3 linked regions of the Danio rerio genome follow. The protein of the gene in region 2 interacts with the protein of the main gene of each other region in a pairwise test. Links are inferred from orthologs where the notes say so. Each region holds a gene or a part of one and is shown on either strand. Other genes may lie near its edges. The genes, in order: srsf11, srrm4 and zrsr2.

Evidence for each region.
Region 1: the proteins of srrm4 (region 2) and srsf11 interact in binary tests that used the Homo sapiens proteins (3 or more experiments, as listed by UniProt). The link is inferred for Danio rerio from reciprocal best matches to the Homo sapiens genes SRRM4 and SRSF11.
Region 3: the proteins of srrm4 (region 2) and zrsr2 interact in binary tests that used the Homo sapiens proteins (3 or more experiments, as listed by UniProt). The link is inferred for Danio rerio from reciprocal best matches to the Homo sapiens genes SRRM4 and ZRSR2.

What each region holds. Positions count from the first base shown.
Region 1 is NC_133186.1:47,584,548-47,588,205, reverse strand, and holds part of srsf11 (serine/arginine-rich splicing factor 11), read right to left. Parts: intron 3,610-3,658; coding exon 3,520-3,609; intron 3,105-3,519; coding exon 3,055-3,104; intron 2,888-3,054; coding exon 2,754-2,887; intron 2,109-2,753; coding exon 2,027-2,108; intron 1,062-2,026; coding exon 948-1,061; intron 389-947; coding exon 299-388; intron 1-298. UniProt on the Homo sapiens protein: May function in pre-mRNA splicing.
Region 2 is NC_133180.1:16,513,187-16,516,844, reverse strand, and holds part of srrm4 (serine/arginine repetitive matrix protein 4), read right to left. Parts: intron 2,744-3,658; coding exon 2,669-2,743; intron 2,550-2,668; coding exon 2,523-2,549; intron 2,349-2,522; coding exon 2,298-2,348; intron 1-2,297. UniProt on the Homo sapiens protein: Splicing factor specifically required for neural cell differentiation.
Region 3 is NC_133186.1:13,231,252-13,235,009, forward strand, and holds the start of zrsr2 (U2 small nuclear ribonucleoprotein auxiliary factor 35 kDa subunit-related protein 2), read right to left. Parts: upstream 2,453-3,758; 5' UTR 2,375-2,452; coding exon 2,283-2,374; intron 2,187-2,282; coding exon 2,107-2,186; intron 1,781-2,106; coding exon 1,708-1,780; intron 1,620-1,707; coding exon 1,511-1,619; intron 1-1,510. Other genes in the region: histone-binding protein RBBP7, read left to right, coding at 3,182-3,197. UniProt on the Homo sapiens protein: Pre-mRNA-binding protein required for splicing of both U2- and U12-type introns. Selectively interacts with the 3'-splice site of U2- and U12-type pre-mRNAs and promotes different steps in U2 and U12 intron splicing.

The sequences.
Region 1 (3,658 bases), on a different chromosome or scaffold from region 2:
TTTTAGTTTGATTGATTAGGCTATCAACAGTTTAAAAAAATTAAATCATTAATTAAAAGACAAACATAAAACATTCGCAGAAAACCTCTAATGTTAAATAGCTCTACATTAAAGCGTGTAGGAAATCATTTTCTTACTAAATCTAATGAAAAGCACAGAATTTGGCTCTGAATTTGGAAAACTGAACTTTAAAATCTTAAATGGCAACTTTTATTATTATTTTAATGAATTAGAATGTTTTTGGCGATTCTAAAAACTCAAAAGAGAAGTTAATAAACACTCAACAGTCCAGACTGACCGGCTGGTGCTGCGGGAGCGTCTGGCGCTGCTGTAGCTCTTGGGTGGAGTTTTGGACCGTTTCCTGTACTTTTCATCCTTCCTTCGATCTCTACATCAGAAACAAACCAAACATCTGTGAGGAAACAAGCCAGCATCTCTCCACAATAACCCTGGAGACACCTGAGTGCCTCAATAGAGGACTAGAGATGAAAAGCCTTTATAAAAAAAAACATTTTTATACAACTATTATAGTGAGCAGAATTATCTACAGTTATCAATATAAATCAATCAGTTTTCATAAAATGACATTCAAATTTACAGATTTTTTTTATTTCACGTTGATTAATTTTTACATTCAACAACTTAACACAAATGTTTATAAAATTTTGTGTTGTAATTTATTGAAGCTCACGTCACAAAATAAAAGTAAAAGCAAACAATAAGGAAAAACTATTTCTATTTTTAGAATTAAAAACAACGTGAACTGCTGGCATAACTGTTATGATTTTGCTTTGTTACGTGCAGCAGAAACATGCCATCGTGGAGCCTTAATGGTTTATTAACCCTAAGTGAATAGTGTAGTTATTAAAAGTATTACAGTTAATTAAACAGAGTTATTGTCTGCATCCCTAGCTGACACACCCGAGGACTGACTGACAGACACTGACCTGGACCTGGAGCGTCTGCTGCGGTCTCTGGAGTGAGATCTCCTCCTGCGGGGACTCTTGGACCTCCTCCTGCTCCTGGAGCGAGATCTCCGCCTGGAGTGACTCTTGGAGCGCCTGCGGTCACAACATCATCATAGTAAGCCAAAACTAAAGCTGATTTTTCACCCCAAAGACTTCCGTTCATATGCACGTGAATGTGTCAGACTGGAAATGCAAGCTCATGCGACGAGTTTTGCAGTTCGCTGTGTTGCAAAGTTTAAGTTTGGTGAACTCTGATCTGTGAAATCGCATCACTGCATGAGACCAATCGAGGATCCAAACATGTCCTCTCTGCACAGAAATGTAAAATATGGAGCAATCGCTCGCTTTAAACATCTAATCATCTTGTTTGATCCCGGCCCTTTTCCTGGCGCAGTATGACAATTTCACACACACAAACTCCAGCGTGACCGCAGCTCAAGACTAAAGCTATTGGTCAAAAGCAGGAGAGCTCAAACAAAGCGTCCTGCAGAGTTCAGTTACAACCCAAACACCTTAATCAGATAGTCAAGCTCTTTATAGGTAGACTAGAAAATTATAGGGCAGATGTGTTGAATATGAAGGGACAGCAGCTCTCAAGGATCCAGTTTGGTCAACCCTGGTCTAAAGACATTTTCATTAACTGAAACATTGACCTTCTCATGTTTTACTTAGTGAACATTATAAAATACTAAACACCCTCTCTCTATATAAACTTTGTTTTTTAATATGAAGTTTTTCTGAATTCTTTATCATTTAATGAATTTCTATTCATGGCATTTGTGAGGTTTTGCATGGTTTAAATACTAAATGTTTTGCACAAAAGTGAATGTAAACATGTTCTGTGCACTCTGATAAACGACAACTACTAACACTAAACTAAATGCATAACTAAAACAAACAGCCATTATTGGAATGAACAAAAACTCAAGCGTACAGCAAACCTAAAAATACTACCAAAATAAAACTAATTCACAAATGCAAAACTACAATAACCTTGCTGTGCTCACAATTTATTCAGATTGGCCCAAATTTCAGCTCAAACTGCGATTAAGACAGACCTGTGTCTGGAGCGGGACCTGGATCTCCTGCGTCTGGATCTGGACCTCGATCTCGAGCGCTTTCGTTTATCATCCTTCTTACCTAAAGAGAAGCAGACACAATTTAGTGTAGCATCCTTCAATATTTACATGAGCAGAATGTCTGATGGGTCACTAGCCGTTTCAAACCACCCATCTTCATGCATATTTTGGAATATTGCAGTAAACAAAACTTACATGTTTAAATATATGAACATATCTAATAATTAAAAACACAGAAGTCTGCTGTGAACAGCTTTAGTGAATAAACTGTGTATGCACTTCATCAGTAGTTTCTGACAGATGCTGATCATATATTAATGTGTGTGTGTGTGAGGGTGTTTGTGTCTCTAATGTTGGTTTTCAGCTCTCCACTGTTGCGGATGTGAGATGTTGTTCAGACACTTAGCCCTCCATCAGTCCGTCATCACAGTGCTTTAGCATTATTCTTCTTTTATTATTATTATTCCCTCCAGAACTGTCTTGAGCATCTGTCTGTGCTCTTGTCTCCACCACATTCACTGCGTCCATTGCATGTGGTGTTCTGAGGCACAGCTCATGTATTAAAGAACAAACAGCACAGTGGAGAATCCCAACAGTGCAGCAAACTACACTTCTCTCAGCAATATCTGTGCAGTTTCTCGCTGCAATATTCCAGTTTGGTGCATGAATCTAATTCTCATCTTCGAGTGGAAACACAGTTACTTACTTCCAGGCTCGATGGCAGCAGAGATCAGAGATTGCGCCTCTCTCACTCTCTTCATGGCTTCTTCAATCTCTTTATTGGAGGCGTCTGCCTTCAGTCCAGGGGTCAGATTGAGCCCAGCGGCCAGAGGATTCAATCTGCAACAACACACAATAAATAGATGATTTAAAACAGAGTACATTTTCATATTTGGGTGAACCCTCCCTTTAATGCTCCATTTAATAAATACTATATATGTGGATTATTTTTAAAATTAAAATCACACAAAATGCATGATTGCAGATGAGGTGTTTGATGAACTTACTTGGGGTCTATTGATGCCATGAGCTTCATGAGCTGCTCAGCTGACAATGACTGAGAAGAAAAACATCAAGCATGAGTCAAAGAGTCCTGCTGCATAAACAGCTTCATGATTTGTGAGTCAGTTATGCAAAATTATAAATGATGAATTTTACAACACATTTAAGACTGACTAGCTAACTGAAACTAAAATGAACAACTTACAACCAACGTAATAGAGTTTACTTGCGCTTGTAGAAAAAAGGCCTTTGATATTTAAGAGTATATTTACAATGCAAATGAATTATGAGGGGAAAAAAAGTTTATTACATTGAAAATTTTATTAATCATTCAATCATCAAAAGAGTTCAAATAATCAAGGCATTGATATGCGTCATATCGTCCAGCCTTTAGCACTTAACATTAGCCATTTCTGTACAAAGGCTAGATGAGGTCTGGCCATTATTGAAGGAATGGAAAATGGTCAAACCTGTGGGTTTATATTGGGTGCTGCCATGGCCAGAGCTGCCATCGGGTCCAAGTTTGGTCCTCCAAGACCGCCGAGAGGGACGCCACCAATCTGACAAGACAAAGCACACGAGCATCACTACAGTGCAAGGAGGACCATA
Region 2 (3,658 bases):
TGCACTGTAATCATTAATAGGGATGCGACGATTAGCTGATATCACCATTACCTGCGCTTTAATTCAGCACAGTTAGTTAATCGTGAAGGCTTCTCTAAGCCCCATTTCTGTTGCACAGAAAAGTTATGACAAGTTGCCAACTATGCACTAGTTTAAAGTTCCAAGTATGTACACCGAGGCTAATACACACGGTCACCGGATTAACTGTAGCAGCGGCCTAACCCATATCATGTCTTTTCCGCTCGCAAGTTTGTTATTTCTAATGTAAGAATGCCAATATGGCCGCACAAGCGGAGCAACGCACTTGCCTCTGTCCGGGCGCACGCAGTAAAAAAAATCTCACAGTGAGAGTTGTGCGTGCCTTTTAGTGCAATGTAAACAAAAGATATGTTAGACCAATTATTATTAAAATGATTATATACGCATGAACCCAGATGATGACAACAGTTAATCTAAATAGCTACTTCCCTTATATAAAGCTTGTTGTTCTAAATTACATTAGACTTGATAACCATGAAACCATGATTATTCTTCAGACTATATCGTACAACCAAAATCTATAATGTTGCATCACTAATTGCTGTTTAAAACATAACATATGAATGTGTCTGAATGTAGAAGAAGCCTACTTCAGCAATGCACTGTTTTTGTTGTGCGAAATACAACATTTTGAATGCTTGTAAACAAAAAAAGTGAATTGGACAATGCAGTTGTTTAAAATACAATATGTTAACATTTTAATGTTGAAAATGCCAACGTGGGTGTCTTTATGAGCACAAATACAGCATACAGGCTCTTATATGTAGTAGTGTCACCACTCATTTAGCAAGTCATATCTCTCCGGCCCTTCGTTTGGGATGCTTTTCATGAACCAGCCCCCATGCCAAACTAATTGAATATCCCTGGCATAGGACGTTAGTCTTGTTTTTGAATCTGCTACTATACTGACACAAATGCATTTGTAGCTCCGCACCTTTTAAAAAAGAGGGCACAATTAGGATCAAAGCCTAAAAGGGGCAGTTTCAAGGAATTCTAAAACATTATGTATGGGGTATTTTGAGCTGAAACCTCACATACTGTCAGGGTTCTGCCACTCTGGTCTTGTAAATTCTTGTTTTGGTGGCAGAGCTCGGACACTACCCATGTCTGGTCCTGTTTCTGTCTCTGTGTGTGCGCGCGCCGTCGTGGGTGTACGCAGAGTGAGCGCTCCTGCTTGATGCGGCCGCGCGTGCGCTCTGCGTCACTCAGACGCGTGCGCTCTTGTACTCGTGTTTGTGTTTTCGTCTGTCAGCAGCGTGGTGTTTCATTCCCAGTGTCTCAGTCTTGTTGGTTTCGGTTTTGGTCGGCGCTGGGATGAAGCATGCACGCTGCGTGTGTGAGCGCACGGTGAGTGTTTTCATTCATCGTGTGCTCGTGTCTTGCGTCTTTTGTCAAAGCACGTGGCTCGGTGTTTACATTGTTGTCACGTGCTTTTGTCGTGTGCTTCAGTGTTGTGTTATGTGAGCGCATGGCTTGTATTGTCTCTCTGTGTCATGCGCTCTCCCGTCTATTGTCTAGTCCCACCCTCCTTGTTTACTCATTATTAGTTTGTCATGTTCACCTGTGTGTCAATTTACTTTTTGCTTTATAATCCCCCTCATGTTTTCAGTCCTTTGCCAGTTCATCGTCGTTATTTCCATGTCGTGTGCTATCTAGTCCTGTTTGTCCTGCCAGCCCATCCAAGTTTGTTTGAGTGTTTGTTTTATAGTTATGTTTTTCCCCCTCGGGGTGGTTTTTGTTGTCCTTTTTGTTTTATTTTTATTAATAAATACCATCTTATGTTGCAATTGAGTCCTCGCTCCCTCATCCTTCCTGAAACCCTGACACATACACAGTCATTAGACACTTATTTTGCATCTCATAAAAAATGCACCCTTTATTTCTTTATTCCCATCGGATGAAAATGTGAGCATGTATTTTTTTCTTAATTCTGGAAGCTTGAAAATTGTTATTAATAATTTTGGACTTTGAAATAAAAATTAAATTGATTAACTTAAGTGAATACTGTATGAACATTGGGTCACTAGCTCTAGATTACAAGCAGGATGTTTCTGAGCCATGCTGTGTGAATATTGTGCTTTCGCAACAAACATACCATGCATTTTTATCGCACTCGCCATCATTCTGTTTCTATTTGAGTGTTGCACGTAATCCTATCACTCAGCATGATGAGTGAAATGCATGTACTTAAACTGTGAGAAAGACAAATGGAGATTTGATGGGTTAAATAATTAAATTCCCATTTTTAAATCACCAACCTCTTTTTGTGTTTTTTGTCCTCCTTCCTTTTACGTCTGGAGCTCGAGCCACTGTAAAAACAGCACGACAATTATTGATTGGGTTTAAATGGAAAGGTCCCACAGGATGGTTTATGGATAGAGCCGCAAACAACACAAAAGCACTTCACAATAACGGTCAGGTATCATTTGTGCAAAAGCACTGGGCCATTTATTCTGAAGCAAGACACTGAATGTAAAATTTACCTGTGTCTTCCCTTCCTTGAGGCAGACCTGGAGGCAGAGAGGAGCTGACTTTAAAGACAGTCGTGACCAAACAAACACACCGCATCTAGCAAAGCGTACTCAAAGCAAAGCTCTGAACATGACCTGATGTGAAAATCAATCACTACCTATGTCGCTTCCTCTTCTTTGAGCTCTTCTTTTTCTTCTTCTTCCTCACGGGTGACGGGCTGCAGGAGGGAGATCTGGAAGAACAAACAGGGCCACATGTTGGTAAAAAAAACAAATGTTTCGCTTTTGAAATAACACTGAATGAAAGGGTTATTTTAAGCCAAGAAAATCTTGTAATGTGCTCCCAGTGCTTTCATATAATGTACATACACTTTCAAATCATTGCAAATATTCTGCACAAAGTGAATTAATCTCTGTGCTCTATGGAAATAAAATATTTAAATATACATACAGTTGAAGTCAGAATTATTAGCCCCCATTGTGTTTTTCCCCAATTTATGTTTAATGGAAATATATATTTGATATAATAGTTCCAATAACTAATTTCTGAAAACTGATTTCTTTGCCATGATGACCATACACAATATTTTATTAGATATTTTTCAAGATACTAGTATTCAGCTTAAGTGCAAATTTAAAGGCTTAATTATTTTAATAAGGCAAGTTAGGGTAACTAGGCAAGTCATTGTATAACAGTGGCTTGTTTTGTAGACCAGGGGTTCTCAACTGGTTTGGCCACATTTTGGCCACATTTTTACATGGTCATCAAGCCGCGACTCAAATTTTTAGGAACTATAATATAATTTTAGCAATTATAATTAATTTGTATTTATTTGTTACCACACACAAGTAGTGACAGATAAATCATTAGAACATCACCAAGACTTACAAATAAACAATATTTTATTGCTGTCATTTAACAAAATGTATCAAATTATAGAAATATTACAAAGTAAAAACGACAAATCCTGTTAACAGTGGTTAGGGTAAGGAAAGGTTCAGTTACCATGAACTAAACAGTTAATAAAACATGCTGTCAGGTTTCCGAATGTCGTTTTAATTTGGAAGGTTTCGTGCTCTCTTGTGAGAGCACCTCACTACTTATGTCACACTGAGTCTTTTTTGCTGTCAATATATGTAAATCCATA
Region 3 (3,758 bases), on a different chromosome or scaffold from region 2:
TATAAACCTGAGCTATTAATTTTTGGACCATTATTATTGTTAGTTATTTTGTTAGATTAGCTACAGATCTGGCTTAAGTACGAATTAGTCTAATGTATATGCACAAATATAATATTGTAACACTTCCTATAGAAATATTAACCCTCTCAAGGCAGGCGTTGCTGATTTGCAACAGTTAAAAGCATAGATTTTGCCTGTTTCTAAAATTTAATTTGAGCCTGAAAGGGTTAATTGAAATGATATATTTATGAAGTGCTCTGCATATAAAATATATTATAAAAATATATTATCATAAATTTCTCATTTCAATTAATATATCTATAGGAAGTGTTACAAAATTATATTGTAGAATTACACTTATCAATTTATTTAAAAGGCACCTAGAAGTTTCAGCTCAAAACACCCATCAGATTTTTCATTATACCTTTTACAAGATCCTGTTTTATACATTTTTCCACCAGGGGGTGATTTTGTCGTACTGCGCCTTTAAGGCGAGTCCTCCCCGCCTACTGTTTCTATGTGCCTTCCCGCGTGCTTTAATCTCCTCCCTCGGCTGCGTTAGACAACAGACAGACTTAAAGGAAGAAGATCTCACGTAGCGTTTGTTGGAAATACTACAGTAAGAACTTTACCAATGAGTATTTGTTGTGCAGTTGCACTGATGAGTCACATGCAATATCGTAACAAAGTTCACACGCGCGCGCACGCACGCACACACGCACGCACGCACGCACGCGCACACACACACACACACAGGCAGACAGGCAGACAGACAGACAGACAGAGCGCGCTTAGCTTTGCACTGTTTTTGCACGCAAATGTGACAGGATACAGGTTAATCTCCACTGCTGTGTTGGTATCTGTTATGTTATTTTATAAAATAAACCTGATTTAATGTCCACAAACAGAGATTGAAGCATCTTCTTTTATAATTATTCTGACATGCGGCTGTGCTGATGAAGTAAAGCTGAAGTGAATCACTGTAATTAATTACACGTGCAAATAATACTAATTATTATAAATTACAAATGTATATACACATATTTTAAAACTAATTTTACTATTTTACCAAGTGTATATAACCTATAAGTTACTACTGTAAGAAAATATCAGCATTCGGTACATACTTTCAGTATCACCTTTGCTTAAAATGAGTCAATCTTATGCTGTTTATATTAAATAAACCTGCACCCGAGCAGGTTTGAGCTACCAGAACTGTTGCAATGACATCAACTCTCGGATTAATTTTAAAGAACAAAACAATCCTGGATCGTGTCAAATCGTCAATAACCAAATCCAGCTAATTGAGTAATCCACATACAAAGAACGAACCCCTGTTCTCCTGTTCACACATTCTTGTCACCTCTTCCTCTGCTTGTAAACTCATAAACAAACACTTGCAATCGGTTCATGAGATCGGCCAGATTGGCGAGTACCGACTGAGTCATTAAATGTAAACGAAGAATCCCTAATTAAAACCATATACTACACATTACAATCACAGGCTCACCTCTTCTTCCTCCTTTCTCTGTTGTGCTGCATCCTCTCGCTCCTTCTTTAACCTGAATTCTTCCTGCGCAATCCTTTCTCTTTCCATCCATTCTTGGTGTAACCGCTCACTGCATTGTTAATAAAGTATTATTTTCAAAATATTTCCATCTTTTCCAACTGATATTAACTAATTAAATTGAAATTGTAAGGCCTTACCTCTCCTCATCAACCTTCAGTTTGTCCTCATCTTCAGCTTCAGACTGAAGTTCCTCATTTTGCAAATTGTTATCTGAAAAGTAGGGAAATGATGTTGCAATATTGGTTTTGAATCTTATGATTATATTATTCACAAAAAAATATTTTAAATTGTTATTTTACAGTATTACTGTTTTAATAAACGTTAAAAGACTAAATAAATGCAGTCTTGAGAGATTGCATTTATTTATTTATTATATTATTTATTTTAAGAGGCTTAGAATATTTAACCTGTAGACTTAAAATACTTTAACACGTAGTGCAGAAATAATAACTACTACTATAATATAATAAACAGTAAAATAAAAAATCTAGAAAATAGCTAATTAAATCGTGTCAATAACCGTGTAAATAAGTTACCTGCTTCTTTTATTTTAGCAAGCGCTTGGCGTTTTCTTTTTCTTCTTTCTCGTTTAAGAGCAGCTCGTCGTTGTTTATGACTAAGAAGTTGGTAAATAAATACATTGTAAATAATTAAAACACATCCATACTGACTGATTTAATACAGCAACAATGTCAAACGTCTGATACAACACCTGAGTACAACAGAAGGAGTTTCACACATATTCAACCGGTTCTCAGAGTCCTGTGTCTCTGTCTGAATCGAGCAACAATCCTTCTCCGTCATTTCAAACCATTATTTAACTCATATCGCTGATAAACAACAACAGCACAAGCTATCAAGCGCAACACATTTTCACCAATCATTCAACGCGCGCGCAAAGATGACATCACTTGCCGCTTTTGATCGGGCATGCTCAGTTTAGAAGTGGGAAGTCAGTTCACTTTACCGAGTCGGTTCATTTGGACAGATCGTATAAATGAACATGTTCAATTAAACTATGAAATCGTTGGTGTTGTTTATTGTTTCACCGTTGTTGTCCCCCCTGGATACTACATTTAATACCACTGTACTACTATTAGTAATAAAACAACAATGATAAAAAATTATTATATGTATTATGATGTACCACTTATTATACCACTGCGACTACTACTATTAGTAATTTAATTATTATTAGTTTATTATAATTATAATAAACAATAATACATTTATATTAACAACAACAAAAATGTTTTAATACCGACAATAACAACAACAACAATAACAATTTTGTTAATATTATTTTGTTGTTGTTATTATTATTATTATTATTATTATTATTATTATTATTATTATTATTATTATTATTATTATTATTATTATTATTATTATAGTAATAGCATTGATATTTAACAACAAAAAAAGAGTCGGTTCAAATGAACGACTCGCTTGTGAATCGGACATCACTACCTCACGTTGGTTTTGCGCTTGTGAGATACGCGAACTGGTTTTGCAAGTGACGTGTGTTGAGTGTAAAAGCCTGTTTTTTCTGCTTTTTGGCTCTATATCCCTGGTCCATTCAGTGGCTACCCCACAGAAAAGTACGCCAAAATGGCCGATAAAGAAGGTAAACTTTTTCCGTAGTGAATTACGTGCAGTATTTATTCTTTTGCCAGAGTTTGCTAGCGTTAGCCTAATGTGCTAACGTTAATGGATGCGACCCACATACTGTCATAAGAATGAATGAGTGTCACAATTTTCTTTATCAAAAACTTGCTTTTCGTGAATTGTATGGCAACTAGCGTGATTAAATTACTATTATTTACATACTGGCTTGAAAACAAGTAATAGCTTCTCAAAGCAGACTGAAACTCCGTTGTTCGCTGATTTCCCTCCATCATTCATATGCTGCTGCTGTGTATCTACTAACGTTAATTCAGGAAATCCCATCTTTACTCTTTAGTTCTGCTAATTTATGTGGGAGCACATCAACTTTCTACTACACAACGCTCTTTCACAGTTAAGTCTTTGTGAAATGTGATCATTTGCATACATTTGGCCTAAAATAAATAAATAAATAAACAAATAAATAGAGAGAAAACACGTTATGCTTGTAATGAAGTCTTTACATTGGTCAACTTCAGTGTGGATTTGATAAGTCCTTTATAAGTTCATAATGCATTTCATG